Drosophila melanogaster: one gene and its partners. The protein of the gene in region 1 interacts with the protein of each later gene in a pairwise test. Each region holds a gene or a part of one and is shown in the gene's direction. Other genes may lie near its edges.

Region 1 (10,184 bases):
GTCTACGAGAGAAGTTTCTACTCCCGGCGCCGCCACGCGGATGAGCTGGTCATCCACAGCGTCTTCCAGCAGCTGCAGAGTCAGCTGGAGCTGCGGGTCCAGCACAACGCCTTCAATCTAAGTCAGGATCTGGTGAAATCGCTGCAGGCAAAGGTGCACCAGATGCGCATCAATGTGGGCAACCTACCGCCCAATGTGACGGAGCAATTCTATTGGGACAGCGACCGGCGGTGGAGCGTGGGCAGGGACTTCTACGAGAATCACCTGAACAGCCTGCTCTACTACTACACGCTCGTCGCCGATTTGGAAAGCAGCTCGGACCAGGAGGAGCGGGACATCTGGTACAGCTTCAATATGCATACGCCCGAGTTTCCCGACAACATCGATGCCACGCCGTACTTCTACTGCCTGGGCAACATCATCTTCGTGCCGTACTCCTACGTAAAGCGTCCCTTCTTCGATGCCAACTTCTGGCCAGCGCTGCTCTACGGTGATCTGGCCAACACCCTGGGCCACGAGATCATGCACGCCTTCGACACCGATCTGGTGGACTACGATGCGCAGGGTAATCTGCGTAACTTTAGCGACCAGTTGGGCGAAGTGGAGCTCTACAACGGAGCGGTTGGATGCCTGAACAGCAGCGCTGTTATGCTAAACGAGCGCACCTCCGACGTCAGCGGATCCCGGCTGGCCATGCAAACCTACGGTGGCGACTGGCTCACTCGGTCGGGCAACGGGCGTCTGTACTTCCTCCAGTTCGCCCACTTCTTCTGCGGCGACGAGGGCGACCAGTACCATGACTCCGGCAGCCAGCGGCTGAACTACGCCCTCGGCCAGGTGCCGCAGTTCGCAGAGGTGTTCCGGTGCCATGTTGGCTCCGGAATGACCAGCGCGGACCAGTGTCCCTTCTGGTGAGGGATGCCCAGAGACGGTCGGTGACTCCCACTGCTAGTCGGTGTATAGCTTTAATTAGGAACCCAAGTATTGTGAATAAACTTCTATGCTTAGCAATTGCGTATGCGGTTCGCATCTGTCGGGCGGATTTTCCGACACGGACTGAGTTAATTTTCAATTACGTGTGCAACGTGATAGACAAGACATCGGTGAGCAGTAGATGCCCTTCCAGGATGTTCGCTGTCAGGCACTGAAAAAATAGGGGGGTAGGTACTCACACCTACGCAGAGGAAATAAAGAAAATGGGATGCTTCCTTCAGTCGAAATATTTAACAGTGTGAGCGAGAACCTTTTTAAAAGTACAAAATGTTTCGACTCTGTTTGTGCACCTTGAACTTTTGCCGATTTCCTCTGCCGAAGAGCTCACGTGTGCTTTTCCTTGCTTGCCCACGGTGCGTATGTGTTACCCGGCGTGCTTTTATTTATTTGCTAATTAACACCCATCCTGCGCGGAGCAGACGGCAGCCCAGAGGGCGACGACCATCCAGAATCCGACTTAGATTCCAAATCCCGGCCCCAAGTCGGTGGTTGCACTGTGCAACTTGTTGAAGGTCGTCGCGCAAATCGCTCATACGCCGCGTGGGTCTTGAAGGCGCGTGGCAAGCGGTCGGTTTCGCCTGGCAACCGCATTAATGGGCCATTAACAACCTGCCGGGATGATAGCGCGTGAGCCGCGTGTCAAACAGCGGTCAGCCCCAAATCGTGGTTGTTTCCGATGAATGGGCGACCGTACGTTTGTCTTTGCCCCACAAATGGACTAGAAACGGGAAACTTGAATTGATTCTGCGATAAAGAACGTATGCCTCGAGACACTCGAGCTACTCATGTGAAATGGGGTGTGGGGCTCAGTCATCTAAATCAATATTCTGCGGTTCCAATTTGGTATGTTTCAGATTATTTTCTAGTTTCTTGTGAGTCAGCAAAATGTAAAGGATAAACACATCTTTAGCAGTCTGAATTCCAGAGCTCATCCAACGCGGCTACATTATGCTGAGTGTGGGCTATTGCGATATGGCCAGCAGTTCCTCTTTCCGTCGAACGGCTTATCAGTGCTGAATTTCATTCATTCATGTAATTCAAAGCGGCTGTGCATTATATTTGGGCTGGCTTATAATTAGTTTTAAAATAAACCGCTTGGCCAGCGGAACGCGGAAAGCCGAGTGACGCAATCGGAGCAGCGAATTGCGAATGGTGTGGTGTTAGTCGGAAGCCAGCAACAAACTCGCTGCTTCTGATCGCCACGGCGGTGCTCCACTCGGCTCGGCTGAGGTTCGTTCCTTGACCCCCGGATTCCGGCGGTCTTGCCCGCCACTCGGGGTTCCATGTCACGTGCGCTCGCTCGGCGGAGTAAGTATGTATGTATGTATGTGGGTCTGTGCGGAATTGATTGATTTGCCAGCGAAGGTGGCGCACTGGAAGACAGACAGACAGACAGACTGACAGACGGACGGACGGACTGATAGGGCTGATGAAATTACAAGTCGCGCATCGTCATTCAGACCGATTGTGGGCATGTTATGCGAGTAAACGGATTTTGCGGCAATGAAATAATTGCCAACATTACAGAACTGGTAGTGTCTAATTAACCCGCACTGATAAAGCGGGGTACATGCCGCCGCTCAGATTTTCAAAATTGCATGGCCCTGCATTGAGTGCCCAAAATCTGAAACCAAATATTCGCGTTCCGGTGTCGCCGACAGAAGCGGTGGCTACTTAGCAAGTGGAACCACTGCGTCCCCGTCCATTCCAGTTGGATATGGAACGCCAGCCACATGAGTTTATCATAAAGCACCCACTAAATTTTTGCCGCTGCTGTTGGCGACCACAATGTTTGTAAATGTTTTTCACCGTCGAATGGTATTTCGGGGATTGCTTTGTTTGTCATTTGGGGTATTTGCCAACTGACCAACTACTGTCCATCTGAATGATTTTGGTGTGCCTCTTTTGGCTTAAATAGCAATATATTCAGATACCAATAAAGGCACGTCTGATAGAATTCAGGCCACGGGAGCAATCCGTTTGAATTTATCGTATCATTGAGTTGTAAGCCGTTTTGGCCGTTAATAGCCATCGAATTCTCATATCTTCACTGGTCTGCCTAGAATATAAGTTATTGACATTCTAATCATTTTCTTGAGCCCATGATGATATTTAAAGTCTAGATTAGTTTACGGTTTAAAAAGCACTGAGCTTTGATGCTGATTCAATCAGCTGATTCTTAATTCGTGGTGATTGGCTTTATTATCAGCTGTGATATTCCGTAAAGCCGGCAAATGAGCCCTTAGATCGATGTAAATGTACTATGTTATTTGGCGCAAATAACCACGCTTTTTCGCGGTCTTTTGTTTACAAAATTAATTTGTAATTTGTTTATGAAGTTGTGCGTGTTAAATACTGTGTTGCCTAAAGTAGATCATAGTTCAACAAGGAAATCCTTAACAAAGTAAGTTAACTAATTTATATAAATAGCCGGCCTGTTTTAGAAAGCCCAAAAAAGGGTTAGAGAACGCTTTTGTCTTGAAAATTTGGAATATTTGGAAAGTATACCCTTCCCATGTAAACAACTTCAGCTTTGTGATAAAAAAATAGGCACTCCGTTTTGCTAAAAGTAAAAAAGCGCATTAAAACCAAAAATTAAAGATAAAATCGTTAAATATCAGGCAGTTAAAAGATGTATCCCATTATGGAACTTATCATTGTAGCTCTGTAACTCATCAGCTCCAGCTCTGCCACCTGAGCATCCGCAAATCTCAGCCCCTGATTTCATTTTATGGCTCTGTCGGTGTGAAAGTCACTTTGTGGCAAACTGCAAGCAAAGTTCTGCTTATCCCTGGGGTCCTGAATTCGGTTCGTTTTCGCTCCAAATTTCAGCAATAGTCAGATGAAGAATTTTCAGTGTGTGATTTTTATTGTGGCTGCAATTCGCCTGGGTCTTGTTAACATTCGCATTTTTCTCGGAAAATTCGTTCGGTTGCAGTATAATGATGATGCTGGGAGTTGATTTCGCTGAGTTACTGCAATAATTGGAATTTAAATTTTAAGGACTTTCCGTCAGCTGTCTTTCGAGTGAATCCTCGGTTATCCCTTCTTTCCAGAACCTTACATTTTACATCTATTGCACAGCCCTAATATTACCTACCTGTTTTCTTTGTTTCAGGTCACCTGGATATATATTTATAGCGGAAAGGTTCGCGAAAATAATTAAATATCGGTTAGCGCGAGGAAAATCCATCGATCCGACAGCTGCGGCTGTTAATCTTACCTGATCGCTGCTAGTTGGATTAAGGAAAATCTGAGGCAGTGGGTGGGCAATAAAATCTGCACCCAATCCATATTTTACCTGATCATTGTATATAAGCTATTAGCAAAATGCCAGAAAGCCACAGTTACAAACTGAAACGTCTAACGTCAACAACAAGACAGCAAACTAATACCAAAATGGTCCTAAGCAATTCCACGCCGAACAACCAGTCCAAGCACAACCAGATGGTAGTGGACACGGCAGCCATGAACAGTGATGATCTCAGCGAGCTACTGCAGCTGAACGCGGAGATCGAGGAACGTCGTCGCTCCAGCCGCCACGGAGATGCCAGCACCGCCTGTGGCCTGCTCCGAGCTACGATGACCAGGGAGGAACTCTTCGAGATTTCCTCGCTGGATGATGATCGCTTCCTGACCGCCCTGGAGTACCAAAACTCGTTTGCATCACCGCGCCGAGTGCAGGTTACCGACCTGGACTTGTCCAGCATCGAGAATCTGATGAAGTACTTCGACGAAGAGGTACCTGTGACGCCAACAAAGACACTGGGTACCACCAAGGCAGCGGGTAACACGGGTAAAGTGGCCAGCACAATTGCCAAGTTGGCCCTCCAGTCGGATCCGGTCACGCCGCCCAAGCCAAAAGTGGGTAGTGGCCACCTAAAGATCAGCGAGCTCAAGCAGAAATACGAACAGCTGCCGGAGATGGAGACGCCACGCTCTGCATATCAGGCTTCCAGAAAGGTATCCGCGTCGCTGCCCATGAAGGTCAAGGAGATGGCCCAGCTGTTTAACTCCAAGATCAGCCAGGTGATGCGACGTACAGAGGAACCACAGTATGTTCAGCTGCAAAATGAGATGTCGCCGGAGGTTAAGGCACAGAACCGCCTGGTGTCGCCATTAGAGTCCCCAGTTCAAGGACCCTGCCTGGTGGCCGAGGAAGTTTTCCGCGAGTTGAGCGTGAAGGACAAAGCCCTGCTGTTCAACAAGTTCATCGGTGACATGGCAGCCAAGCACCCCAAGTTCACTGCACATGCCGCAGATCTCAAGGAGAAGGTAAACAAACAGGTGGCACGAGGGGAGGTGGTGGCTGAACGACAAGCCAGTGTTAAGCATCTCGCCCAGGAGTTGGAAGCGAAATGTATCCTGGAGCCGGGATCGCCACCGCGACCAGGTGGTGTCTCTCCCCCCAAGACGACTGAGAGCAAAACGGAGACATGCACCTCCCAGCTGCATGTGAGCACCCTGACTGTGATCCTCAAGCCAAGTCCAGAGCGCAGAGCTCCACAGCCACGACCCCGCCGATGCCTGGATCGTCAGAGCGATGAACATGCCCGAGAGCCATCCCAGAAGCGAAACCTCGCCGCGATTCGCACCATGATGCCAACGGAGGCCTATGCGCCACCAAAGAAAATCCGACGCACTCGACAGGAGCGCACCGGTGCGGATAGCCAAATGTTTTTTCAGAACGAACACCTCGAAACCCTGTTCTACAGCTGGCTCAGCTCGGAGAACGGTGTCCAGTTCGACATTACGAGTGTGTCTGACGGTCAGCAGACCATTGAGATAGCCACCGAGGAGGGTAATCTTCTGGAGCAACCGCTACTTGAGCCGAGCACCGCTACTCTGGAGGATGTGAGCCAAAAGTCCGCCGTCGAGCGGCTTCTGGAGGAGGCCATCGCAAAATTAGAGCTAGATAACGAGTCCAAGAAGGAGACACAAGTCGAGGAAAAGAAGGAGATGGATACAGCTCAGGATCCCATCGTTCAAGTCACTCCGCGACGCATTAAGCGCCAGGCGCCGCCAGTGCCAGCCCCACGACCCAGTCTAAGTCAAGTTACCTCCAGTGCATCCAGCTGCAAGCAATCCGAGGCTGAGGAAAGTGAATCCGGGTTGTCTACACTCCCCAAGGTAAGTGATATCTTTAATAAGTGGATTCATGAATGTTGACTCATTGTTCTTAATTTTCTATCACAGATAACCAGCGACGAATCCCAGCCAGAGACGCCCAAGGATGACTTGCAGACAGGTGAATTTGATTTTGCCAAGCCCCAGCGTCCGCCACGCAAGAAGAAAATGCGCCGAACTCTTACATGGAAAAAGGAGAACTCCATTGTCGAGGCCACTGCAATAACCTCAACGGACTCCGATTCAGATTACAAGCCTCCGCTATCAGGAGCGGCCAAGAAGAAGTCCGGTGCTATCTGTAACCCACTTCCAATGCCCGAGCCAAGTTTCATTGAGTTGGATAAGTCACTGATGCGCCACTTGAACTCGCCCCGGAAGATCAAGTCGGCATACACCCTCACCGTGATGTCATCTCCCTCGCCGAATGCAGACAGCGATCAGTCTCCTAGTCAGACACCAAGGCAATCCCTGGTACAGGCCATGCGGGACAGTTTCGTGGATCAGGGCTTTGAGACATGCTCGAACGATCCGATGGACAACAGTCCGATACGCCGATCTTCGCTTGGAGCCACGGAATCGAAGCCATCCGGTTTTTCCACGCCAGTTAAGGGACGCCATGCTTCCAGTCCGGCGCAACAACAACTGTTCAGTCCGATTCTCATCCAGGAGCGCCCTCGTCGCAGTTCCCTGGCCATGCAAGTGATCCGGGAGGATCATCCGCTCGATCTGGACGCCACCTCCAGCTCACCCTCCACACCGTGCAGTGAGCGGGAGTTCTTCGCCAATGCCCCGACTGTTGAAATTGATAACTCCCAGGATGAGAGTCCGACCGGCAAGGCGCACTCAATGTTCTGGATCACCTCTGGGGACTTCACAGTCTCCCTGGAAATCTTCAAGAACAGCCCGGAGCGCCTGCGACTGCTGTACGAAATCTTCACCCAGAAAAGCTGGGAGACTCGTGACCTGGCCTTCGGAATCGACGGACACAAGTTCATTCGCGGAGCTCCCAGTTCCGACTCCGTCCGACAGTCGCTGCCCGAGCGTCCACCCAGTGTGAAGGGCTGCTCTCACTATTGGTTCGCCAGCGGAGATCTCGCAGTGCCCTTCAGCGGAAAACTGATGTCCAGCGAGAAGATCGAGCGGCTGTTTGCCTTCCTCAGCGGAGAGCAGTCGGAGTTGCGCTTCGGCGTTGACCACATTGAGTTCAGCAGCGTGCCTGAGTTCTGGCCCACCACCCAGAAGTATTCCATCGAGAGCAGCTACAGCATACTGGTGGGTCTGCAGACAGGTGCCAGCAATGGCCTGGAGGGTCGCAGCAAGTACTCCTGGCCCAACAGCAGCATCAGTGCCAACCAGGCGATCAAGACCAGCGACCTGGATCAGACGGAGTTCGAGTCCGATAGCTTCGGCAACAACAGTGGTAGGCTGTCCTTTTCGCCTGATCTCTTCTCCCTGGACTACGAGGCGGTTCCCCTGGACGAGCTGTTTGCCAAGGCTCCTCCCTCTGCCGCCACACCCGCCATGTCCGTGCCGCAAATGATGCAGACCCTCAAGCAGCAGCAGTCCAAACTTCGCAGTGTGGAGCAGCGCATTCGTGGCTACGCCAAGCCCGCGAATCTGGCCGACTCTTCGCTGGAGCACTGCCGCAACACGCCGCAATATGTCCACAAGCTGCGCTCCATCATCCGGGCCATTGACAACATTGGACGCGACGATGGCTTCCGCGGCTGCTCGATGGAGCAGCTCGAGAGCTTCATGTACTTCCTCAGCGAGTATGCGGATGTGTGCCTGGCCAACTGCAGCGAGCACATGGACAAGATTCTCGACACCCTGATGGACCGGAGGGCCGTGGAGGTCTGAGCGATGGTGCTACCTCATCGGGATCTGACTTTATTTTAAGATTTTATAAACAATTAGTTCCTAGACATTAACATATAATGTTACAAAGATTTTAGATAATAAACTTTAAAGAGAAAAGTTAAAGCCATTCAGTGTATTTCCTTGGGCATGCAGAGTCCAACAAAATCAGGGGTTCTGGAGGGCATAGCTCCTTGCTATCCTGCAGACACGTAGGAGTCTGGCAAGCATCACGTTTCCTGCAAGCACATGGTTTCTTTTTCTTGCTCTCATCAAGCAAATGCTCCTGTTGCATCAACTTCAGACATTCCTGGCCAAGGATACCATGTTAGTGCACATCCAGTGGCCAAGGGAATCCGTTTGGGGCCAAAAGGAGTTGCTGGGTTCGGTTCAATAACAATTTCACGTGCAAAAGTGCTGCGCAAACATGGTATCAGAGAAAAGTACTAACTATTAATGCAATAAATGGTTACTTGTTCAACATAAAATAAAAGTCCCGTCGACATTCTTTTGACTTTCAAATAAAAAATAATAGTTATATTTTTGCACAAGTACCACTGGTCAATATCAAGAACCACAGATTACTGAAATAAAAGTCGCTTAAGTTTTAAGAAGCAATCCCAAATACATAGATATTTTATTTGTTTCTTTCGCAGTGCCAGTTTGTTCCGCTCGGGGAGCAAGTTAATAAATATACATTATCACTCTTATCGTTAAGAAACACAAACTAAGGCCTATGATATATGTAGGTATTTAAATATATATATATATATGTATTTCTGTATGAGTAGTTTAGAACTTACATATTTGGATTTGGCTTTATTTGGATTATTTCTCAACTGTAAACCCGTCTTAACTGATCAGCTAACTAAATTATGTATCAACAGTTTTCGCTTCAATCGTGAATATTCGTAATTCATATTTGCTTAGTTACTTATTTAGGTTAATGGTTTTTGATTAATGCATTTTAGGTGCCTGTTTTTCAGAGTATTTAAGCCTTTCGCTTTCCCGTTAAATATCTAGTTTTGAAATGGTTTGATGCCTACTCTCGTACAAATGAACATTCATTTCTAGTGCCTATAACGAGTACATAATTTACAATTGCATTTGGGGTTTTATCCATGCATATACGCGCTTATTTACAGTTGGAGGTGAGTGAGTAGTGCTCTCTTTTTAACAATTTGGCATCATTCGAAGGGTATACTATTTTTTCCCACTTGTATTTATGCAAATTAATTGATTTTATATCTAACTAACCAGGATTTATGTGCTTTGGTTTGCATCGCATGTTTGCTTTGGCCCTGCCGAAATGCTTTTTACAACATTCTTCGCATACCCTCACCGATGGTATAGTGGTTTTAAAACCAAACGAATTTTTAGAAAATATTTTAGAGTGCTTCCGAACGAATGGTAAACAAATATGCGAGGTTGATTAATTTGGTAACTTTGTTTGCCTAAAAACACGCTGTGGTTTTCGCCACCAAACGTAATCAAATATTAATGGGCTGCATAGGGAGTTTCGGGGAAAACCAAAGCTTGACTTCGTTAACGTTTGCAAATTGCAATTCGCTTAATTAATTACACAGTTGTTATGGCTAATCGTATGCATCGGCTTCGAACACCTTTCATTTCGACTGTTTGTAATGGCACTTTATTAAAATGGAATCGCACATAGTTCTCAACCACACGAGTGTGTCGTCAGCAGTGCGAGGATGCAGCAGATGAGGGGCCAACTGGACGCCATTAGGTTGCCATGACTCCCGCTGCTCTTGCCCTTGGACCAATCGAATCCCTTGGGACTGCTGCCCGTCAGCTTCTGCTTCGACTTGTCGATCTCGTTCAGATTCGATAGGTATTTAATGCTCGCTGCAATTGATAATGAAAAGTGCAACGTGTTCATTTGTTCTGCCAACATCAACATCCTATGCATTTTTTGGGCACTACTCACATTTGCCGGACGCAATCACCGAATTTGTGGGTCCTTCGCCCACAATGCCAATGCCATTGCCATTCAGGGGCGTGTTGATGTAGCCGTCCAGTGCGATTTCCGCCGCGGTTGTTGTCGTCCGCCGCAGCGTTGTGGTTGTGGGCGGCGGTTGTGTTGTCGGCGGACTCGACACTACACGTAGAGAAATATTGGCGTACATGAGTGGTAGAAATAATTCAATAAATAGAAGCTATCGCAAAGTGGAACTTTAAAGGAAGTG
Region 2 (9,031 bases), about 15 Mb from region 1:
TGACGCTGCGAATGCGATTTGCTTGTCGAGGCGATCGTTTTCTGACCGTTCTCCAAATTTGCTTCCATCTCGTTTGTCTAACTTCTAGGATGTTATTCGTTGTTCGGAGAGCTTATTTCGTATTTGTGGTTTAGTAATAAAGCGACACCATGTCCTTGGTTTATTTGTTTGTAATGTGACAAGAACATAAAATAGTTCACTTGTCTGAATCGAAGCACTGCAAGGCAAAATCGAAATACAGGGACAAAGTATAAGCAAGTAATCTTGACACTTATCGGTGCATCCTCCGTCCACTCAAATTAAATGCACTGCGGAAGCGTCCTTGAGAGAGAGAGAGCGGTGAATATTCTCATATGTACAACTGTTAGAGCACGAAAGTGTGTGCTTACCTGCATATGGCTGTACCGCACATTTATTGCCGTAATGGAACTGTTCAATGACAACATAAAAAACAAAAACATTATAAATATCAAATGTTGCCTAACCACTACAGATAAGTTGGTTATCATATTGAAATTGTTCTGTTAAAACTCGTGATCCTTTTTTGCAGCATTCGACACCATAGTAGACCACGGTAACTGTAATCAGAAAATTTCGTCCGCTCTCTCGCTGCTCTCTACCCCACCGCTGCCTCTTTCTCTTCATATGACTACCTCTTCATTTCCCCATTGAGAAATATTCGACTGACAAACTAAGTAACACACACCTCTCGTCCCTTTTCTTGTGGAAAATCACTTTCTTGTCTAGGTATGCGCGTACATGTGTTTCTCCTCTTTGTGTGAGTTAGGCTCAGTTTCTCAAGGCTTGTTTAAATGCTCTATTTGATTTCATTTGTATAACAGCTCGCGAGCGTGTGTACCCTCTGCCTATTGCAACAAACCCTCGTTTGCTTTAAATTTGTATCCCAGTAACTAACAGCTCCAGCATATAAGTCCAAGATATTTGGAAGTTATTGATAACCGTCCGCCTTGATTACTTCCTTAACATACGTTTGCTATGCTGGTTATTTGCTTTTTCGATGTGTTAAATTTTTTCTGCTAGCAAGTTTGCACGCAAGACACCGAGCAATATCCTTCGACTAAACTAAGCCGCCCCGATAAACTTGACTGATTGTCGATTTCAGCCTCACCAGCAAGGACCTCCGTTATTTCATGTTTAAACGCTCAGAGGTCGAACGAGAGCAAGCTTTTTCGGCTGAAAGCTCGTTTTTGCGCATGCGATCGAAGCAATGCACTGATAACGGTACAGCTGGGCTATCCTGATAAGAGTCCCTTTGCACAATAGCGTATTCAGAATATTACCGGAAGAGCATAAAGTTAATTAAATCTCATTAAGGTCTCCCGCCAATAGGCAACCACTGACCGATGAAGAAAACGTCATGAATGCAGCTGACCTTAAAATGAGTGCAGCTGCTATTTGACAGCGCCTGTGTGAGTGTGTCGGGGTGGACTGCACTATGGGAAACCTAACCACTTTTTCTGGCCAAAATTAATAACTTCAGAACGGAGAAATTTATTAGGAAAAAATTCGACAAAATTTAAAAATTGTTCAAAAGTGTGGACGTGGCCGGTTTCGCGGCTTTAAAAATGCTTATGTATGGCAATTTATATTTTTATCGAATTTTGGGTTGAACATTTTTTTTGCTTTTGCCACTCACTTACTCATAATGCAAGCCACACTGATTAAATGCCTTACAGAATGTAAATAACGCTTCAGAAAAAAATTGGTTAATTTTTCATAGTAGAGTTCTGTTGCATTTATTGATGTCCACTAAACATAGTATACAAACATGAGTAAGAGATATTTACGTTATACTTTTTATACATTAGTAAGTAATTTGGGGACCAAAGAATTTTATTCAGAATAAAAAAAAGGCATTTCCAAGTCTATTTTTCTAAATGTTATTTTTTAAATACCACAAATTATGAATTTAGTAAATAGATCCGTTGATTTTTTTCCTTAAAAAAATCTACTGATTTCAAATCAAAGCCCGCCTCAACGATGTAAAAAAACTAGTAACGATGACACCTTTACTGCTCTGAAATCATCTTTTGTGATGAAAATATAATTTTGTTCTGTTCAAGAATATAGGTATCTTCATTGATATGTACGTGCTTATCTACGTATATAATTCTTTGCTGCGAACTTAGACATTAGAGCATAACTGATTTGAATTCAATCTTTTTTGTGCGTTCAAGGGGATTTCAAAATGGTTGAGAATATTAACCTTAGACCAGTAGTGCCCAATTTCCTGCGTCGCGGAAAAATCTGTTTTCTTTAATTATTGGTCGATATATCGCCTTAGAATATCGTGTCGAAAGTTTCAAAAGCTAATTCTCGAAATTTTGGGAGATGCCCTTCGGATTTCGGAAGTCATACTTTCCTTGACGGCAATCTTTAAACCATGTTTGGTTCTATATGAAGTAAAGACTTTTCAATACAAACGAATGCCTCGTTCCTATAATTATATTTTAGAAACAAGAAACAACCCCAAAGCAAGGCTAAATGGAATAAACCCAAAATTTTACAGACGATGAAATCGAAAACCCGAAACAAATCACCCACCTGTAAAGCAAACATCCGTTGTCCAATTTTATTAAATCAGCATGTTTTCACGTTCCAAGCCGACACTCACAAGCTCGAAAGCAAAAGTTTGAATTTCAATAAATAAAATCTTAAAAATCTAATAGCGCTTGTATCCAAGAGCGAATGCACTTCACTCCAAAAGCCAAAGACACTAGATTATTCTAGTGTCTTTGCAAAAGCCCATTAAAATTTTACAGCCCAAAGTCCATATTAAAAAAGCTCGAGACCGAGGATTGATCGTCAATCAATATAGATCAATAAGTGGAGTTTAGCATGAGACCTAAAATTAAATGTTGACTTATGAAAATTGAAAACTTGTAATTATATGTATGTATAATAGCGTCTATGTTCTTCGGCAATGGAATCTCAGTCCTAGTGTATTGTTTTCCTTGCCAATAGCCTAAAATATTGTAAAATTTTAGTGAAGCAGAAAATTTACCAGCTGCCTGGTAGCGCACTCTAATTCTTTTTTCTATTATACCGATCAAGGGACGCAGACAAGGCCACTATACATATGTATGTATGTACGTACTTATGCGTGCATATCTGACTACCTGAAAATGTTTTCAGAGGGGTGAGGATTATTTCCGTCGGTTTTATGTGTTTGATTACATACATATGACATATCTTTAAGATATTATTTTTAAGATCTTGTAGACTGTGTAATTTACAAGGAAATTGATTGATGTAATTTAATAAAAAGCTTGAATTTTTTAAAAATGACGATATGTGTATATATATATATATGAACATACATGTTTGTGTGTTTGTTTATTTAATTTTTAGGAGTACCGGATCAAAAAAAAAACTTAGAATTGGGAAGGTGTATTACACGAAAAATCACTCAGGTCAATGAGAAAAACAAGGATAGGAATGCATTTGAATATTTTACCTGCTATATTTGTGTAGCCGCTAAATAATAGTTAAAAGGTGGCAGCCCTTTTTAGGGGACCGTTATTTTGAAATATTTGTCACTGCTATATTTCATCTCTTTAATATATTAAAATAAAATTGTAAAAATCTATCAGCATAAGCTAACTCCGAATTAAATAGAGAACGGGTGATAACGATAACAAACAAAGATATGTTTTCCGGAGGCGGAACTATCGCAAGCGGACTACCGACGTCTACCAACACTACAGGGCGGCGCTTTAAAAGCCGGTCCGACGCTCACCGCTCTCTCATTCGGCGTTTTTCTTTGTGACTGTGTGGACGTTCTTAATTGTACGGCAAAATCTCCAGCAACCAAGCTACTTTCTTAGCAAAGCTACTAAAGAGGAAACTATATTGATAAAATTTCGTTCTTTTAAAATCTTTGTGCTGATATTTAAGGCGTGCTTGGTGATCCAAAAACCCTCAGTTACAACGTGTTTTCTCGCTTCGCGTTTGAAAAGTAATATCTAACAGTAATTCAAAATGGCTGATGTGGCTGAGCAAAAGAAGTGAGTACTTTGCTTGCCTTGTTTTCGGACGTTTGTGGATTTTGTTTAAGCAATGGACTTGTAGCGAATTTTGCTAATGAAAATCTATGTTATTTGCCGAAAAGATTTGGAAATTTTCTTTTGAATTCTGTGTCTATATACGCAAACCGCTTGTTGGCACTAATGTAGTTGTCTCGTTCCCGCCAAAGGCAAAACGGTGTGCGCGCAAAAACCGACGCCGTTTAATTTGGCGCGGCGTCATGGTGCCTTCTCGCTCTTTCTCCGGCCGGCAAACAGCAACGATGAATTATTTGTGTGTGTGTGTGTAGCGGCGGAGTAATGCGTTGAGTGTATGCGGACGACAGGCCAAATGCGCAAAAGTCTATAGACATGTGTGTGTGTATGCGTGTGCAGCATTCAAGTTGCCGCTCTTTTCTTGTGCTGTTTCATTTCATCTGTCTGTGCTACCTCGTATGTTGCTTTGCTGCGTTTCTCACCAGACATCAAATTTCGAGGCTTGCCTTTTATACCCATTTGATAGCTTAAAGCTCGAAGCTTGAAATTAACAGTATAAATTTTCACGCATATCTATATTGGCATTACCAAAAATACTCCCTCTTTCCCTATCGATGAACACTTATGTATATATTTTTTTTAAGTAGTTATTATATGTTGCAGCTTATAATACATAACAAAACAAAACTCATGCCTAAGGCTGTTCCGGTTTTCTTTGAAAGACGCAGGTTGTATGACGTTATGCTACTGTTTGTATCGTTTGGACCGTTATTTTTGTCGTTTAGCGTTGCTACTTTGCAACTCTCTTTTTGTTCGCCCTATAGAATTCTATCTACCTCAGATGGCGAGTATCTGTTGGTAGATGAGTGCGAGAGAAACGACTATATTGTCATTAATCCCATTAAAACTGGTTTTTATTTCTATCTTTGTTCGTTTTAGTTTAAACGGGTCTCGCTTTTCATTTTGCACGTCTGCAAGCGTGTTTTTGGTTCTACCCTGTTCTCATCTGTTGGTAGAGAGCACTGAAATAACAAATGAATATATGCCATTTATATGAAAAAGAGCGTGCCGCCTAATCGCACTCACCTTTTCGCGCTTCCTTTTGCGTCGCAGCTTGCACGAGTTGTTGATCCCATTTTTGAAAAACGCCGGCAGATGTAACAATGCACTTTTTTTTTAGTTTTAATTCCGAACGTCCTGGGGCTCTTATGAATAGAAAGTGGAGGATGAAAACATAAACGTTACCTACCGGCGCTATATTGAAATTTTTCTTTTTTTTTTTTAAATTCAATTAATATTTAATTAATTAATAATTAATAGTTTTAGTTTTTGATAATTTTTAATTGATTTACTGTTTAGAGTTTTGTATGTAGTAGAATGCTATGCATACGAAGTTCAGTTCGGCCACCTTCGGAAAAAATTATAAGTGCATACTGACTTTCGTCTCTGATTATCACCCACAGTGAGACCCCTGTTGTCGAGAAGGTCGCAGCTGAGGAAGTTGATGCTGTGAAGAAAGATGCAGTTGCCGCCGAGGAGGTAGCAGCTGAGAAGGCGAGCATCACAGAAAACGGTGGCGCCGAAGAGGAGAGCGTAGCCAAGGAGAACGGAGCCGCCGACAGCAGCGCGACCGAGCCCACCGACGCAGTCGATGGTGAAAAGGCGTCTGAGCCCACTGTTTCTTTTGCCGCCGATAAGGATGAGAAGAAGGACGAGGATAAAAAAGAGGATTCCGCTGCCGATGGGGAGGACACCAAAAAAGAGAGCAGCGAAGCTGTTCTACCTGCTGTCGAGAATGGCTCCGAGGAGGTCACCAACGGTGACTCAACAGGTATGATGATATCAATGATATCAATGCCAAACAAATTTTCCACGTTCATGTTCTTATTGTTCAATTTTTATTATCGCCTTACAGATGCTCCCGCCATTGAGGCTGTAAAGCGGAAGGTGGATGAGGCTGCAGCCAAGGCAGATGAGGCCGTCGCCACGCCGGAGAAAAAGGCTAAGCTTGATGAGGCCAGCACAAAGGATGAGGTTCAGAATGGGGCCGAGGCTAGCGAAGTGGCCGCCTAAGGGAATCGCCCGCGGAGCAGCAAACTCAGTAATCTACTTATTAAATACTTACTAACACAAAAAAAGCAAATCACAGAAATTACGGTTCTACCGCCAGGAACCCGGACTGTATCCATTTTCCGCTCTTGTGAGCGGGTGATACGTGGGTGGCTGCTTGGGTGGCGGGCGCAATTCTCCAATAACAATCCGGCAATGGGAGCGTAGTTTTATAGCGTACCGGTTCTCTCTCTCTCTACTAACAAACAACCTACCAACCAACAATACCGGCAACAAACGAAAACAAAAAATCCATTATTATTTAAAAACTTACTTAAAATCTTAACTTTAAAGCAAAGTATATATATATATAAAGCGAAGGATTAAGAGAACAATATTAAGCGAAATTAAGATGCGAGACCCTCTATGTTTTAAGAATAAAAGTTGTAAACAAAAGCGTCAAATTTAATAATTGTAAAAAAAAATACGAAGCGAATGAAACAAATTGCAAACAAAATCTTTAAGTAAGAAAAACATCAAAACAATTACGGCAAAATAACATATGTAATCCTTTACAATTTTTAATTTTACAACCGTATCTTATTTTTGAGTATGAATATTTATATCGAACAAAGTAAAACTAAAAATTCAGTAAAATGTAACAAAAAGCTGCCAGCAACAACCCCAGAAAAATGTATGCCAACCGGCTAAAAAAATACTACCACATAGAAACAATAAAAAGTACGAAAAACAACTTTTACAGCAATACTCTGAAATGTTTATTTTTAAAATGCTTTCGAAATCGTACCTTTTTTATTTGTAATCAAGGTACCACCTATTTCACATTCCCAATTACATTTTATTTACTTGTCTAAGCCTACGAAATAGTCTGCGACGAAACTCTCATTAATGTTCAATGTTTAACAACGATTTAATGGGCAGGAAAGGTAATGGCCAGTAAATCCAGCATTCAGCAAAATCAAGATTCGAGATTATTAAAAAATAAAATGAAACGTAAAAATTAAAATCAAACTGTAAGCGTAACTTTTATTAATTTGAGCATGTTTGTATTCGCACAAATAACAGCTGTCGCCAATAGTAGAAATTATTATTTTCTTGGTAGGGTGCGGTCCAAGTACATATTAGTGGAAAGTAAACTATTTTAGGTAATATGATTTCGACACAGAACGTTACAAATAGTATTACTATTTTGCCTACGGTAAGTTGTTTTTTTTTTTGTATTTTTGGACTTTCGTTTAATTTTAATCAGAAAATTTAATATTTGATAATCTCTTGACTCATGACATTATATCCCATATATTTACGTCAATTAAGAAGCCTGTAAAACAAACACGGCAAATCTACAGTTCACACTTTAGCTAAAATTACATGAAGAATAAACTCCGCAAAATTTTATTTCATTTCATTTATTTCACGCTTAATGACATCCAATTTTTTTTTATTTTAACCTTAACAATAATAAGAGTACAGGCCAATAATTAAACCTTATCTACTTAGATATTAATATCAATATGAATAATATGATAATGAAAATATTATACCGATTGGGAAAAAAATTTTATGTAATTGAAAAAAAATCTAAGCACTTAAAAAAGGCTATTATCTAAAAATTACAATTAAGGTGGATAGGTCAAATCATTTATATGCTGGTGCACAGCCTCTTGACATTTAATAGAGAAATTTTGGGACAATCTTATTAATCTATTATAAACCACTTCAATATTGGCTCGGTTATGTAAATGAGCTGTTGAGTGATGCCAAGGGTGATTAAAGATTAGTTTTAATATTTTGTTTTGTCTGATTTGTAGCAGGTTAATGTGACATTTGGCCATTTCTGACCATACTGGAGCACCGTAAAAAGATAGTGCTTGGAAGATTGACCTGAACAGAACATTTTGTTTTCAATGTTTTATCTGGAATTTATGTTTATAAATGGATAAAGCGAGCAGATAATGGCTTTAAGTTGTTCGATTGTGTCACTTATGTGATCTTTGAATTTTAGCCTATTGTCTAACGTGATAGATACCCAAGTATTTGACAGTTGTTTCCCAGTTGTTTCTGCAAAATTAATTTCGATAAATCTCTGGGAAGTGTTCCATCTTCCAATCCTTCTGGATACCAATTTATACTAGTCTTTACCCTATTTTACCCTTTATCCGTAGACAAGATTATTTGAAAAGATTTTATCAGGTAACGTTTTTTTTTTTATTTTTTGTCAGAATCAATAGTCTAGCCAAAAAAAATAAATGCCAAAAATCTTTATCAAAGGTGTGGGCGCGCGATTTTTTGTCGGCTTGTAGGAGTGGAAATCTTTTTAAACATGATTGATTTTATTCATAAGTTTGCAACGCAGGTAAGAAAATATTTACGTACTCATATTATTAAGCATGTATTTTATAAGATATTTTGTCGGCCGTATGAACGTCGAGATTTCAGGAACTATAAAAGCTGCGTTGAGATTAAGCATACAGATTCTAGAGACACAGACGCAGCGCAAGTTTGGTTTGTCTTGCCAATTTCTAGACTATAGCATTCTCTGTTGTTTTTATGTTCAATTTATTTTCCTTCGCAGAGCATATTGTCATGCCCACAGTTTCGACATTTTTTTGGGGTCTTTTTATTTCACTGCTTGTTTTGTTAATTTCTATCAGTAATGCTGCGTTAATCGTAGCAAATCGTGGCCAAATCTTTTGATTTCGTTTTTAAGTCTGCTCTGGTTTTTGCAAAATGTTTGCTATTGGAATGTTTTGTAAACAGAAAACAGCTATTTAACTGTTTTCCAAACAATAGAGCAGCCACCTTCCTTACAGTTTTAATTCCGTTGTTCGCAATTACTTTTTTACTGGACATTGTCCATTTATGTAATTAAATTAAATAGCATTATTTACGATCAGCACGTTTGTCCCTCCTTTAAATTTATTAATGAATTCTTTTATATA
Region 3 (7,843 bases), on another chromosome or scaffold:
GCACCTCCCGGGCGCCTGCATCCCGTAGCAGCTTGATTATTGGTCCAATGGTGTTGCCGCGCACAATGGAATCGTCTATCAGGACCAATCTCTTGCCAGCCACGTTCTCGGATAGGGCTCCGAACTTCTTGGCTACTCCCAACTGCCGCAGCCGGGTAGAGGGTTGAATAAACGTCCGTCCCACGTAGCGATTCCTGCAGAGAACCTCGGCAAATTCAATGCCAGACTCACGGGCATAGCCATGCGCCGCCGCTGTGCCAGACTCGGGAACGGAACTCACAATATCCGCCTCCACTGGAGCCTCTCGCCACAGCTGCCGGCCGCACTGCAGCCTCACTGTGTACACCATCTGACCCTCGAAGATGCTGTCTCCGCGGGCGAAGTAAACGTACTCAAATATACAAAAGGCCATGCGCTTGAAGTCGGGTCTTTCCACAATGTCCACCGTGCGGTAGCCACTTCGCGACAGCTCCACTATCTCTCCAGGCTCCACTTCGCGGACGTATCTGGCACCGATCGACAGGAAGCCACAGCTCTCACTGGACACCACCCAACCATCGGCAGGTGTGTCTAAGTTATTTCCGTGCCCAGCATTGATGGGCACTATCTTGCCAATGCATAGCGGCCTATTTCCATAGGTGTCCCTCACGGCGTAGATTTTGTCCTTTAGCATGATGACCAGCGAGTAGGAGAGTGGCGCCAGCATCATGAAATGCCTGATCCTAGCTGGCCAGTTGGGTCCATCCAGTTCGGAAACATCCTCCGGGGCGCAGCACAACGACTGGGCGATCAACTCACTGTCGCTGTGCGTGGATAAGCCCACGCCTCTGGCCAAAACCTCCCTTCTTAGAGATTCGTTGTTAACAAGCTCACCATTGTGGGCCAGGGCCAATGCTCCATGTGTCGTATGTACCTCAAAGGGCTGACAGTTAACCACTCCGGATCCGCCAGCGGTCGAGTAGCGTGTATGACCGATGCCCAGGTTGCCACGAAGCTTCTTCATGGAGTCGTCGTTGAACAGGGTGCTGATCATACCCATGCCCTTGTGCACGTTGAAGTTCTTGGAGCACTTTCCCTCGCTGGTCGCTATGCCCGCAGACTCCTGCCCACGATGCTGCAGTGCCACCAGCCCCAAACAGATCACGTGTGCAATGTCCATTTGGGTGGGCCAATCTCCGCAAGCGATTGCCCCGAAAACGCCGCACTCGTGCGTCAAACCGGTTAGCTCCTTGCTGGCCGAGATGGATTCCGATTCCATGCTGGAGGTCACCGCCTCAGCTGGTTCCACCTGTTGTTGCTCGACCACGCGCACATGTTGTTGTTGCTTCTGCTGCGACTGTTGTTGTTGCTGTGGCGCTGACATGTTGCTGCTGAAAAATCGGTACAATATGCTGGTTGAAGGCAACTGATTGCAGGCAGTGGCGCAGTTGACGCCGATCTGATTTACCTGCTGATTTACGCAACGGTTTTATACAAGAAAAATCCTCGCACGCTCGCACGCGCAGCTCAGTTTTTCCCGAATCGGTCGAGATCAAGCCCAATATCGATCGGTCGCTGATATCGATAGTGCGGTGTGCTGATGGATCGATAGCATTCTATAGTCTGTATTTTCAAATTGGAATTTTACCTAATTTGTAATTTAGTACACAAAACAATATACACATTATAATTTGATTTTATTCGTTTATATAAAATATACGCAATCAAACTAAATAATAAGCTTTAAATTGAATTAAAGTTATTTTGCGCAATTAAAATTAATTAAAAATTGTATGTGTATGTTCGTATATATAATATTTAACAGTTTTTTTTTTAACACGTAGGCAATTAAAACCAGAAATATAAAAAATGTTTCGTGAAATAAATAAATAATAATTAACTACATATGTATAACAATTGAAAATAAGTTCACTGCAATCCCTCAATAAAAACGCCACTAAGAGATAAATATATTAGAAAAAATTCACAGTAGGAACATTTTTACAAAAACGGTTTCTTTTATACATTTGATAAGTATCAAACTGAAATGCGATTGGTTCAATTTGTTGGTGTCATTATGAGCAGTAGGAATTTAATGAAAACGTTTAGCTTAAGTACTTGATTCGATATTCGAATTCCGCTTTGCACATCGCGCAAATTGAGAGATAAGATAACTGATGGAATAACTATTTCAAAGCCGTGCGAAGAGTAGTAGTGCGTCCTTCAGCAAAGCCTCCTTTTCCAGACTGACCTACGCCATCGCTATTTCGACGAGCAGAGCTTCTCCGTAAAGAACGGAGCCTCCTTCAGCTTGGCCTTGTCCGCCTCGTCGAGGAACGCCTTGGCCTGCTCGATGTCCCCGCGGATGGCGGCAATCAGTGACTCCAGGGAGTCGAAACTGCGCTCCGGTCGCAGGTAGCCTACAATGCATATCTTGAGTGTCTGGCCGTAAAGGTCACAGTTAAAGTCGTGTAGCATGTGCGTCTCCACGCTCTTCTCCTTGTTGTTGTAGAAGGGATTCCAGCCGATGCTGAGGACCATCTTGTGCACGGGTCCATTATCCACGTTTGCCCAACCGTAGTACGCGCCAGTGGGCAGGGATTCCGGCAGCGATTTCACCACCTCCAGCGGAAAGTTAGCTAACAAGTGGTTTGGTTATCAATTAGAAATGACCTTCGCAATTCGCCTAACGTCGCCACCAACCTGTTGGGATGCCCAGCTCTTTGGAGCCGCGTCCGAAGCCCCGAACAATCTCGCCCCCAGCGAACAGAGGCAGTTGGCTCAGCATTTCCCAGATTTCCTTGCAATCTGACCCAGATCTGCTGTGCTGGCGCTTGAAATGAATATCAGGGGCCAATGGGCGGTTGATTTGCGGTATTCTGTGCAACCGCAAAGCGCTGCGGGCCAATTTATCGAGTCTGGCAAGGAGTCAAGCGGGGTTTTCTACAGAGTACGTATGTTGTGATTGCCGCGTAGCCACTCACATAACTATTCCTCGTTCCATTGATCGGCATAATATTCATAAACACACAGACAAATTTTCCGCATTCATAAAGCGAATCAGCTGTTGCCTTCGGGCTGCCAACCTGTTTCAGTTATATAGTACTGTCAATTAGCGAATTTTTTTTACTAGATATTTAAATTGTAAGAAACTGAAATGTATATATTACGCACAGTATGGTTTTAATCAATAAAGCTTGGGTTTATATTGTAATGCAGAATTAATGTAATTGGATTGATTTTAAAATTTTAGCGGCGGGTTAAACATATTTTCATCAAAAGCTTTTATTTGCTGTGTAGAGCTTCTATTGAAAATATTGAATTTTTATTTCATAAATGAATCATCAGATGTTTTGTGTAAATACTAGTACTCTATTCCCAAAATAAATAGAACACCAAATCGTAATTAAATTACAATGAAAGCCAGCTTGCCTGAAAAATATTTGTGTTATTAATACAAATATACATACATATATACATATATATACATATATACATATTTTTTCATATCATATCAATCTCAATTTTTTTTATTCTGAATAATTGTTTTCCATGTGTACATGTATTATTCAGCACTAAAAAAAATGTACAAATGATCAGTGCGACGGTTGGTTTCTTTGCAGTTCCAGTTATCATCCAATTCTCCAAAAAGTGAACACTTACACTTGTGTAGAATGAGAAATCAATTGAACTCTTTAAAAAATGTGCCGTTTATTCATATAATTTACCAGCAATAACTGTAAAACCAGCGAAACGGGATTATTAGTTTGCAAAACAAGGCCAATGTCAATGGTCAATTCATAAGATGTCGTAAACTGTTCTTTTATTAAAAAACATTGCATTTGGTTGTTGATTTAGATGATGCACAGCGCGAAGAACGTGTGCCGGACTTGTATGGACGAGACCGGCACCCTGGTAGATATATTCGCCAATGTAAGGGATCCTGTGCTCGACGAACCGGAGATGAGCCTCTCGCACATCCTGGCCAGGTGTACCGAACGTCCAGTGAAACGCGGCGACCTGCTGCCGCAGTTCATATGCGTTTCCTGCGTCCTGGCCGTGCAGAATGCTTTCCGGTTCAAGTGGCAAAGCGAGCAGAGCTACCAGCACTTCTTCCGCGTCCTAAACCAGTCGGGTGCTCCGGAAAACCAAGTGCACTTAGCTGCATGTAATGGGGATAAGAACCAGATAATAAACCAGAAAATGCAGCTCAAAAGCGATCGTCAACAGGATACGCAGCAAATGACAAAAACGCAGAAACCAGATGATGATCTTAGTCAAAAACAAACACTCCAAGCGAAGCTCCAAGAGGGAAATATTGATGGCCCACCGGAGTCCTTCACCCTGCATCCTCGTAAGCGGACTTGTCGCACAGAAGAACAGGCAGACATGATCCCAAAGGAAGCTACAAGGTAATGCAATTTGTTATAAATATCAAGCCTCAAGATAGACAAATAATTGAAAAATTATAAAAATTTGAAGGTACATCTTTGATTACTTATACTTTTATATGAATAATTAAAAATAACTTAAATAAGCTTAAATAATTATATTCCCGATTTTCAGAAGTACCAAAATGATCTGCGATGCCGATGGCTACTACAACTGCCCGCACTGTTCTAAGCGATTTTGTTCCCAGACCCAGTTAAGGACCCACATCACCGATCTGTGCAACAGGTGTCCCTACTGCCCACGCACTTATATGCAAAAATCGAACCTCAAGCGGCATTTGCGAAACCACCTAAGCAAGCCAGCGCACAAGTGTTTCCACTGCTCGAAGGCTTTCATGCGTAAAGATCACCTTAAAAGGCACCTGCGCACCCACGACAGTGACGGTCCGCTCTCCTGCAGCCAGTGCTCAGCGGTATTTATCGAACACGTTCAGCTGGAAATCCATCGCAGAGAGCACAAACAAAGGCCGGGCTCTTCAAAATCGGAGTCCACGAAGGATCCTGACTCGGACGACAGCGATCAAGCGCAGGATCTAAAACCAAAGTGGACTAAGAACACCTTCAATGGCACGTGCAGCATTCCACCTATGCTAAAGCCGTGAGTTTGGAACTCCACCAGTCTTATGTAATATAGTTATACCTGATAGTTATACTTATACCCTAGTACCGCTGAGAAATTTGTGACGAGCGAAGGTAGCGTATCTGACCCCTTTATATTCTTAATCGGAACCACTAGCCGAGTTCATAAGTTCTCATCAGTCCGTCCGTTCGTCTATTTTTCCGTCTGTCTGTCCGCAGAGATCTCTGGAATTAAAAATCTAGAAAATTAAGGTTTTGAGTTTGTTTCAGACCTTTAAAAAGCCAACAAACGGACATTAAGTTATTGTTTTCATTTATTCTTTTACTTAAATTTTTGGCGATAGCCATTTCGCCGAAGAAAATTTGAATAATCAAACTTTAACCAAACTTTAAAATTGTATACCCGTTACACGATAAGTAATAAAAAGGTTTACTAGTAGAAGGAAATAATAATCTTGCACAGGATCAATAGTCTGTCCGTCCGTCTGCGTGTCCGTAAGAACGCCGTGATCCCGTTAACTATAGGAGCTAAATCCCTAAGATTTAGTAAAATTTATAGAAATAGAAAACCCTCGCACTTTTACTAGCTGATTAACGGGTATCTGATAGTCGAGGCGAATCAACTAATATCATTTGCTTCTATTTATTTAACAACAGGAAACCGATATGCGATATTTGCCAAAAGAAGTTCAGTAGTGTCTACGCCTTGAAGCGGCATATGCTTACTCACAATCGCCAACATCATCTTAAAAAATGTACCTATTGTTCCGAGGAGTTCAAAACAGAAAAACATCTCAAAAGGCACGAGCGTGGTCACATGGGAGATCTGTTTCGTTGCGAATTTTGCTCATTGGTATTTGTAGATGTTAACTACTTGCGAAAGCACAAAAAACGCATTCACAGCAACAACGTAATAGCGATGTAGGAGAAGATCATGTCCAAACGGGTGACTACCGGTTATACTCTTGGAAAACAACCATTGAATTAAGCAGATTAATATATGTGAAAGGAATATAAACGATTTATTATTCATTATAATTATAATGACCGCAGGTCTAAACTTCTGTTGTTGATTCTTACTTTGAATTTTCTTAAATATGATTCTTTTGTTACTTTCATAAGCTCAAAATTAATATTATTTAAGTTTCGTTTTAATTATATATTTCACAGAAACTCAAATATACTGAGAATAAGCTCTAAATTTATATTATTGAAATTTCCTTTTAATTGTATATTTCACAATACATTATTATACTGAAAATAATTAAACAATCGATTGATTGCTACCACATGCTACTTAATGCCTTCTTATATATCTTTAGAGCTTCAAACTTTTTTCTTTTAGCTTTGTTGTGGTTTTGCGAGAACAAAAGGAAAAATAGACAAAAAGAATGATCCATACATCATGAAAACAACTAGTATGCTTTATTATTAGTACGTTTTGTTCTTAATATAGAAAAAAAGGGAATATATATGCTTTATGCTTTATGGACGTGCGACTATATCAAATGTAACGTATAACGTTAAAGGTAGTCTGTGTAGTATTAATACACAATTGTAAACGAATTCAATCCGTTAAAAAACACTTTGGTGAAATTGTAAAGCTTTTGTATGCGAACAATTTAAACAAAAAAAAACATAATCTTCTTAAAACTAACTAAAATACTTCGACTCACATCTCGAAGAGTTTCTTTAGCTCCGCGAGGTTGAGACCACCGCCAACACATTTGGTCACTTCTCCTCCTTCCTCTGGAAGCACAACTTTCGCAATTTCTAGCTTGCAATCTTGCAGGGACTTAATTCGTTGCTCTACAGTGTCCTGGCACATGTAGCGGTAGATGAAGGTAGGCTTAGTTTGACCATATCGATAAATGCGGTCCTGAGCCTGTCGCTCCAGCTGCGGGTTCCAGTGGAGGTCCACAATTAGCATATGATTGGCCACGTTCAGATTCAGTCCCACTCCGCCAGCGGTGAGGGAGAGTAGAAGAACGCGCTTCTCGTTATTCGCGTTAAAGTCTCGCAGTACAATCTCGCGTTCTTTGGCGGTCAGCTGGCCATTAAAGTCAAGTGTTTCCCATGATAGATCCTGCAGTCTTTTACGGACGATTGCGAGATAGCTTACCCACTGAGATGTAACAATGATTTTGTCGTTGGTGCCTGTGAGCAGTTCCTCTAGCTTATCAATGACCATCTTTAGTTTGGCAGAAGGGCGTATGAACTGAAAGATGGGATTCTGGGGATTGAGCAGTTTAAGAGCTCTGGCACTATCTAGTTGATCCTCAAAAGAACTGGCCGTTGGCAGGTCATCACCAGAATCCCATGGCACATTCTCCTCCTTAATTTCATCTTTTATCACTTCCAACTTGAAATTGCCATCTCTTCTAGTACTGTCCTCCTCGTCACAACAGTCATCTTCGCTATCGGTTTCGTCAAACTTATCCAACTCGGCAAGGACATCCATCTTGAGCTGGCCCTCCACGTCTGAGGCATCCACCTTCACGTTCTGGACGTCCTCGGCGGTCAAAGCACCACGCAGCATCTAACGAAAGATGTTGAGTATGATTATGTGGGGTGATAAAGTAAAATATGTATATATTTACCCCAATCATTAGTCCCGGATGGCAACAAAACTGTCGTAGCCGCAGCAGTAGCACCAGGATATAGATACCAAGGATCTTTTCCCCTGGATTGTAGCCAAGCGACTTAAGGAATCTTTCGTAGATCTCGTTGTACCTTTCGTCGGACATATGTCCGGCTATAAACTGTGGGGTTCTTTCCAGAGAGTAATAATTTAAATCACTGTTGCCCTTCTCGCGTTGGAGCAGGAACTGTGT
Region 4 (6,138 bases), on another chromosome or scaffold:
GAAGAAGTTTGACATTTTTTGTGCTAGATCACAAAAATTAAGACTTATGGAGAACACATTTTTCGAACTTGCAAAAAACTAGAATTCTGATAGAATTTTACACAAATATTCCTGACATTTGAGCTTTTTAAATGAAATTTTATAGTCAACAAGTTTTAAAAAGAATAAAAAAATCTATATATGTAAATAACATTTGGAACTTTATATATGGCTGAAGTGTTAGAAATATGTGGACAATTATCGCCTGAAGCGAATTTAGAGGGTTAAGGCAACACCATTTGAACTTTTTGGAGCGTCTTCGCCGCAAATCGTTTGCTTTCAATTTCATTTCGACTTGATTTGCCAGCTTTTTGGCTACCGCTCGAGTCATTTGGAAATTCGCATCTTATTACACACTCCGTTAATTAGCCGGAGTTTGTATTGGGCTTAGTATGGATTGCAGGGGGATATATTGAACGGCCTTTGCGCAATCTGAATTAGTCGCATAAGCGGATCGCCAAAGGACAGTTGACAAATGGCCGGCTTAACACTGCTTTTCGGCCTAATCCTGGTCAGCTTCTGCGCGTGTTCCTCAAATGCCACCGATACTGCCCAGATACTGAGATACGACAATGAAAACATGGATAGCGATGGCTATGCCTTCTCGTAAGTAGGTGGTTCAGGGTCAATACCAAGTTTGGAATAAGTTGCTTACACACGTCTCCCCGTAGATTCGAGACAAGCGATGGTATCTCGCGTGAGGAGAGGGCCACTCTGAAAAATCCTGGCACTCCCGAGGAGGCAATCGCCATCCAGGGCAGCGTCCATTGGGTGGGACCTGATGGTATTCACTATAAGCTGAACTATCTGGCCGATGAGAACGGTTTTCAGGCTCAGGGCGAACATCTTCCCCAGGTAGAGCACTCATCACGTGATAGGTTTGGACTTTGTTGATAAGAAAAAGAATAAGCACACGCAAAACCACCGAATAGCTAAAGTAGGCGGGTAGACAATAGAAATGAAATACATAATAATAAAATACAGACACAGGTGTATATATATCTATATGGCTGGGCATAAATTTTCACCCATCGAAATTGAATTGTATTCTAGGCAGGAAATTAGCATATATACATTTGTATCTTCCAAAACCCGTTTGCTCTTCGCGCCTGAATTGTGTGCGGTAATCGACTAGCTGCACTCTCCGATCCCCCGATCTCTGATCTTCAATCTGCGGGAGCTGACCAAACCGGTTCAATAAACGCCAAAAAGCACCCAACAAAGGTTGCCAAAAAGCGAAACACAATTAATGAAGCCACAATGCTGCCAACGAAAGTGAGAATTCCGGGTAAAAAAGGGCATTTTAAGGCAATTAACCTAAGCTCCTCTCATTTATCAATCGTAAATGCAAAATAATCGGTCCTTTCCCAGCCTAGACATATTATTTTACACGGCCGAAAAAATCGTAAATGCAAAATAATCGGTCCTCTCCCAGCCTAGACATATTATTTTACACGGCCGCAAAAATAGTACACATATATTTTTGGGCGAATTTATAAGCTCTGTTAAAAAAAGTATCTTAAAAAATGTGGTATTGCAATATTTGCAATATGAAATACATAAAAATTATGTTTATATTTTTGTATGACTTTAAGTATGTATTTACATATATTAAAGGAACAAGGTCTCTTAAAAAGTTTAGTCTAAACAAATTATAAAGTGATTCTGTATGCAATTATGCCATTAGACTACTTCTTGCTGTGTACCAGTCACAGATTTCTGAATGATTTATAATGCCCGAAAATGACCAGCAGTGACATTACGCATACGCCCCGATGTATTGTGGTATTGTAGGGCATACATAGCCCAGCCTTAGTCGGCTGAGCTTGGTATTGGCTTTTGTTGTCTGGTTAGCTGGTATTTTATTGACTAAGGTCATCAACCAACACTCGGGCTGCTGACTATGGAGATGGAAACGACGATGATGAGCCGCGTAATCTTGAATCTCTCGTGCCGCATCTTCACTTAAACAGCAAATGCAGCTGACAAGCAATGGCGGTGGAGGTTTTCGTTTCTTTTCGATTCGATTCGTTTCAAGATTTTTGGAGGTTAAATCGCCCTGTCTTAATCGGAAATTGTGTCAGCAGTTAACAGACGTCAGGGCGGAAATGCTTCAATATTCCCCAAAAAAAATTTGCAGCTTTGCAGTCGGATAATTCAAGAATTACATTTATGAGGAAATATCAGCTGAAAAAGCGGAGATTAAGTGTTTATATGATGGCAATTAAATCTCAAGATCATGGGAATTCCTAGATTCCATGAATTGAATTCTTCTTCCCGTTCTTTGCTTAGTTTCCTAAACATATTTTAAGTGGTTGAGTTTTATTCACTTCCTCACTGCTCACTTCTCTTGGGGATTTAATTTCCAACCCATTTTGCTTTGTTTCATCTTCGATAATCTTTTTCATCACAATTTGTTGATAAGTGCAAACATAGCCATTGACCTATTGCCATAGATCCAAATGTATATATGCCTGCTTGTCTACTTGTAGGCAAACACGCGCATTGACCAAATATTTGTTTTTTGTTGGGGGGCCCAAACATTTCATTATCACTTGCTCCATCATCTTCAGCTCCGATTTAACTTTCAGCTCCCGTGGCGTGGCAATTGAGATGAGATTCGAGCGCACATCAAACGCTTAATGGTCTTTAAATTATTTTTTTGGCTTGTTCAATTAAAAGCTTAAGCTACTCACGCTGCCATACAGTTGCCTTCAATTATATGCGTATGGGTAGATAATTGTGTTAGCATTTGAGGTGTTTGTTATGGGCCACCTAAACTTTACGGATCACATAAGTGTGTGTAAATGAGTGTGTGTGTTGGACTCGCAGCACTTGGAGTTTTGGCCCGGCCAGTTATAAATAGCTCAACACTCATTACAGTTAGCCACATTACTCGTTAGTGCCTAATTGTGATAACTACCGGAGCGTGCACTAAAAACCAAACTTAGCCAGGACCTTTTGAAAAGTCTCTACCAGAATCCAATCCAACTAAACATGCAGTCCTCCAGCATCTGTGTCCTGGCCATTTGCGCCTTCGCTCTGCTCTCCACCATTAGGGCTGCTCCTCTGGACGACTCCCAACATGCCACCATACTAAGATACGACAACGACAACATTGGCACTGATGGCTACAACTTCGGGTGAGTAGCAAGGACAATGCACGGGATATTTCCAAGGATTGAAACTTTTGTGTACTCTCGCCTTTCGAAAAGAAGAACCCATTCAAAAGAGTTAACTATCTTGATTTCAGCTACGAGACCAGTGATGGAGTTACCCGCCAGGAGCAGGCTGAGGTGAAGAACGCCGGTACCGACCAGGAGGCGCTCAGTGTGCGCGGTTCCGTCAGCTGGGTTGCTCCCGATGGCCAGACCTACACCCTGCACTACATTGCGGATGAGAACGGTTTCCAGCCCCAGGGCGATCATCTGCCCCACAACTAAGTATTTCCTCTTTGTGTAGTCAGTATCGAAAGCAGTATTTCTTTATATTGTAAAAATATCAGGGTTCTAAAGTATTTTAATGTTTGCTCCAATGATCATATTTCATTATAATAACATAGTCGATATCAATACATAAATAGCTGAATCGTATTGTTTGATTATTAAATTATCACAATCAAATGCCAGTCTTCAGCTAGTCTGTTTGGATTTTTTGCGATCATAAAGTGAAATGAGTTAGATCGTCCGTTCAACCCGGATCAAAAGACGTTCCCTATGCTAAATTTAATATTTATGGTAGGGCTATATCAATGAAAAGAAAAGTATGACGCAAGAGATGGAAGAACAGGGTGCCTGTTCTCTTCACATTTTCCATACGCAACGTTGAACGTCGAAATGCGGTGTGTGTCTCGTCTTGGCTCGTCTCGTCTGGCGACTTTGCCTGGACGGCCTTCGGTTGGCAGAAACTTGCAAATTTTTGGCACAGCCAAACATGTTTGGGTTTTTGTTGTCTTTGTAATTAATACATAATTAAAGTGGCGCATATTGAAAAATGTGCGAGGGATCTGGCCACAAATGAAAACGAAGTTTTGAAGGTTAATTTCAGGCGTTGATTTAAATTTCATGCGATGCTAATGAAATTTGGAAGATACCTTCCAAAAACAACATACAGCGCACAGAGAGCCAAACGGCCAAATTAATATGCATGAAATAAAAAGCTACAATGATCAAACTAGTTTTGGAATGAAACGATTGGACGCATTGATCGATCTTTAAGCTAACAGAGCGCTGACGTAGTTTCCATGCCCAATTTTAAGTTGAACACACTTGATTTACATACTTATTGTCGTTGATGTACAGAACTATTGGCTGGTATGCTCAATGAAGTTCTAAATATACGTATGCGAATCGATCGAACTGAACTCATTGCTATTTTCCGATTGTTATATTAGGAAGGGATGTGAAAATGAAGTTGAACAATAAGAAGTGCTACACATTTGAATTTGTCTAAGAATTGTTTAATTTTATGGCCATTGTTAGTGGTGAACTAGCCAATTAGTAGAACTATCTTGCCTGACGACTATTTATTTCATGTCATTCCAGCTTGATACGATGCGAAATGTATGTGCAGGGACATTAATTCGAAAAACCCGATGAAGCATCCCATTATAGTTTTGCGATTTCCAAAATGCGAGTCCATTTAATGAGATATGCAAGATTTTAGGTTTGACAGTGTCGTGGATTAGATTGCAAGTCAAATATAAAAGTGTTCATCCTGCACTCCGTCGATATCATTCGCATCGAACTCTTCGAGATCTCCAAACCAGCCCAAATTCAACATGAAATTCCTGATCGTCTTTGTAGCAATCTTCGCTTTTGCTTTGGCTAACGAAGCGCAAATTATTAACTTGGAATCCGATGTTGGACCCGAAAACTTTCAGTGGTCGTAAGTAGACTGACAGGGTCCTCATAAAAATGCCTAACTGATTCTGGACCTTCGTATTAGCTTCGAGACCAGCGATGGCCAGGCGGCTAACGCTAAGGGACAGTTGAAGTACCCTAACACCGACCACGAGTCCCTTGCTGTCCAGGGATCCTTCCGCTTCGTTGCCGATGATGGCCAGACCTACGAAGTCAACTACATCGCCGATGAGAACGGATTCCAGCCCCAGGGTGCCCATCTTCCCGTTGCCTCCTAAGTGGTTCGAAGTGGAATACCATGATTTTAATATTGCTTTAACTGCCCTAAATCCGTTTTGGCCAAGTCAAAAGTCAAAATTGTAGAGCTACTAAATAATAAAAAATAATGAATGTATATAAAAGAATCTGTTTTTCAATTTCCTATTTGGGTCACAAGAAGTCAACTTCTAAAAAATGAAATATTTATAGCACAACGTGTACTCATCCCAAAAGATCAGATCGATCGATCTGATGATTGGACCGATATCTTAAGTATTTTTTTATATATATTGTTAGTCGATTTTAATTGTACTTTCTGATATGCAGTAAGAGCCACGTATTTAGAATGCCAGAAAATGGGATTTCATATTCCCTATTTCCACCTATATTAATGGAAAATGCCTACCCTAATCTAGTTTTAGTTTAGTTTACTTATAAATTTTATTTAAATCTTGTATACGAAATAAGCTTGCTTAAAAACTGTATTAATATTTTCTTATACCTAACAAATAAATCCGAGTTGTTGGAGCAATTATTGCTACATAAAGTTACATGCCTGGCCTACTTTTTCCCATTTCTTTTGAATTTTTTACTAATTAGAATTTTATTTTTAAAAGGACTTCATTGAAAGAAGTCTACATTTCCCATTCAAAAATAATATAATAAATAAATAAATGTATCGTTAATTTAAATTCATCCACATCTCTCTAGATCTCTAGATCTATGAATATTAAATTTCCACAGCTAGTCTCAAACAAATTTGATAAAATGTAATCAAAATTGAAGCGCTGAAATGGCAACACTCAAAAACGTTCACCATTGAGTTGAAAGCAAAACTGAACTCAATATCATGCATTTTATGCTCAGTATGCGAATTAGATTAGCGTCACCGCACCTTGGACTTGTTCACAATTTATGTATAAATGAGTTCATCCCAAAGTCAATCGATATCATTCGCATCGAACTCTTCGAGATCAGC

Evidence for each region.
Region 2: the proteins of slam (region 1) and Df31 interact in a two-hybrid assay, tested with the Drosophila melanogaster proteins (one large-scale study listed by BioGRID).
Region 3: the proteins of slam (region 1) and kipf interact in a two-hybrid assay, tested with the Drosophila melanogaster proteins (one large-scale study listed by BioGRID).
Region 4: the proteins of slam (region 1) and Cpr65Av interact in a two-hybrid assay, tested with the Drosophila melanogaster proteins (one large-scale study listed by BioGRID).

What each region holds. Positions count from the first base shown.
Region 1 is NT_033779.5:6,369,185-6,379,368, forward strand, and holds slam (slow as molasses), read left to right. Parts: upstream 1-3,203; 5' UTR 3,204-3,397; intron 3,398-4,111; 5' UTR 4,112-4,392; coding exon 4,393-6,123; intron 6,124-6,189; coding exon 6,190-7,980; 3' UTR 7,981-8,100; downstream 8,101-10,184. Other genes in the region: Nepl4 (Neprilysin-like 4), read left to right, coding at 1-915; DIP-epsilon (Dpr-interacting protein epsilon), read right to left, coding at 9,656-9,843, 9,926-10,096.
Region 2 is NT_033779.5:21,624,664-21,633,694, reverse strand, and holds Df31 (decondensation factor 31), read left to right. Parts: upstream 1-3,762; 5' UTR 3,763-4,002; coding exon 4,003-4,028; intron 4,029-4,718; exon of another isoform or gene 4,719-5,044; intron 5,045-5,108; exon of another isoform or gene 5,109-5,233; intron 5,234-5,485; coding exon 5,486-5,853; intron 5,854-5,937; coding exon 5,938-6,095; 3' UTR 6,096-7,386; downstream 7,387-9,031. Other genes in the region: Ac3 (adenylate cyclase 3), read right to left, coding at 1-68.
Region 3 is NT_033777.3:7,910,247-7,918,089, forward strand, and holds kipf (kipferl), read left to right. Parts: upstream 1-3,604; 5' UTR 3,605-3,837; coding exon 3,838-4,391; intron 4,392-4,545; coding exon 4,546-5,028; coding exon of another isoform or gene 5,029-5,032; exon of another isoform or gene 5,033-5,123; intron 5,124-5,666; coding exon 5,667-5,934; 3' UTR 5,935-6,207; downstream 6,208-7,843. Other genes in the region: Prat (phosphoribosylamidotransferase), read right to left, coding at 1-1,363; Rfk (riboflavin kinase), read right to left, coding at 2,242-2,618, 2,683-2,767; CG10445 (uncharacterized protein), read right to left, coding at 6,682-7,548, 7,610-7,843. UniProt on the Drosophila melanogaster protein: DNA-binding zinc finger protein that recruits chromo domain protein rhino/rhi to specific chromatin regions enriched in H3K9me2/3 histone methylation, mediating piRNA (piwi-interacting RNA) biogenesis.
Region 4 is NT_037436.4:6,136,760-6,142,897, reverse strand, and holds Cpr65Av (cuticular protein 65Av), read left to right. Parts: upstream 1-2,923; 5' UTR 2,924-3,036; coding exon 3,037-3,182; intron 3,183-3,292; coding exon 3,293-3,482; 3' UTR 3,483-3,675; downstream 3,676-6,138. Other genes in the region: Cpr65Aw (cuticular protein 65Aw), read left to right, coding at 515-645, 711-933; Lcp65Ae, read left to right, coding at 4,820-4,926, 4,987-5,179.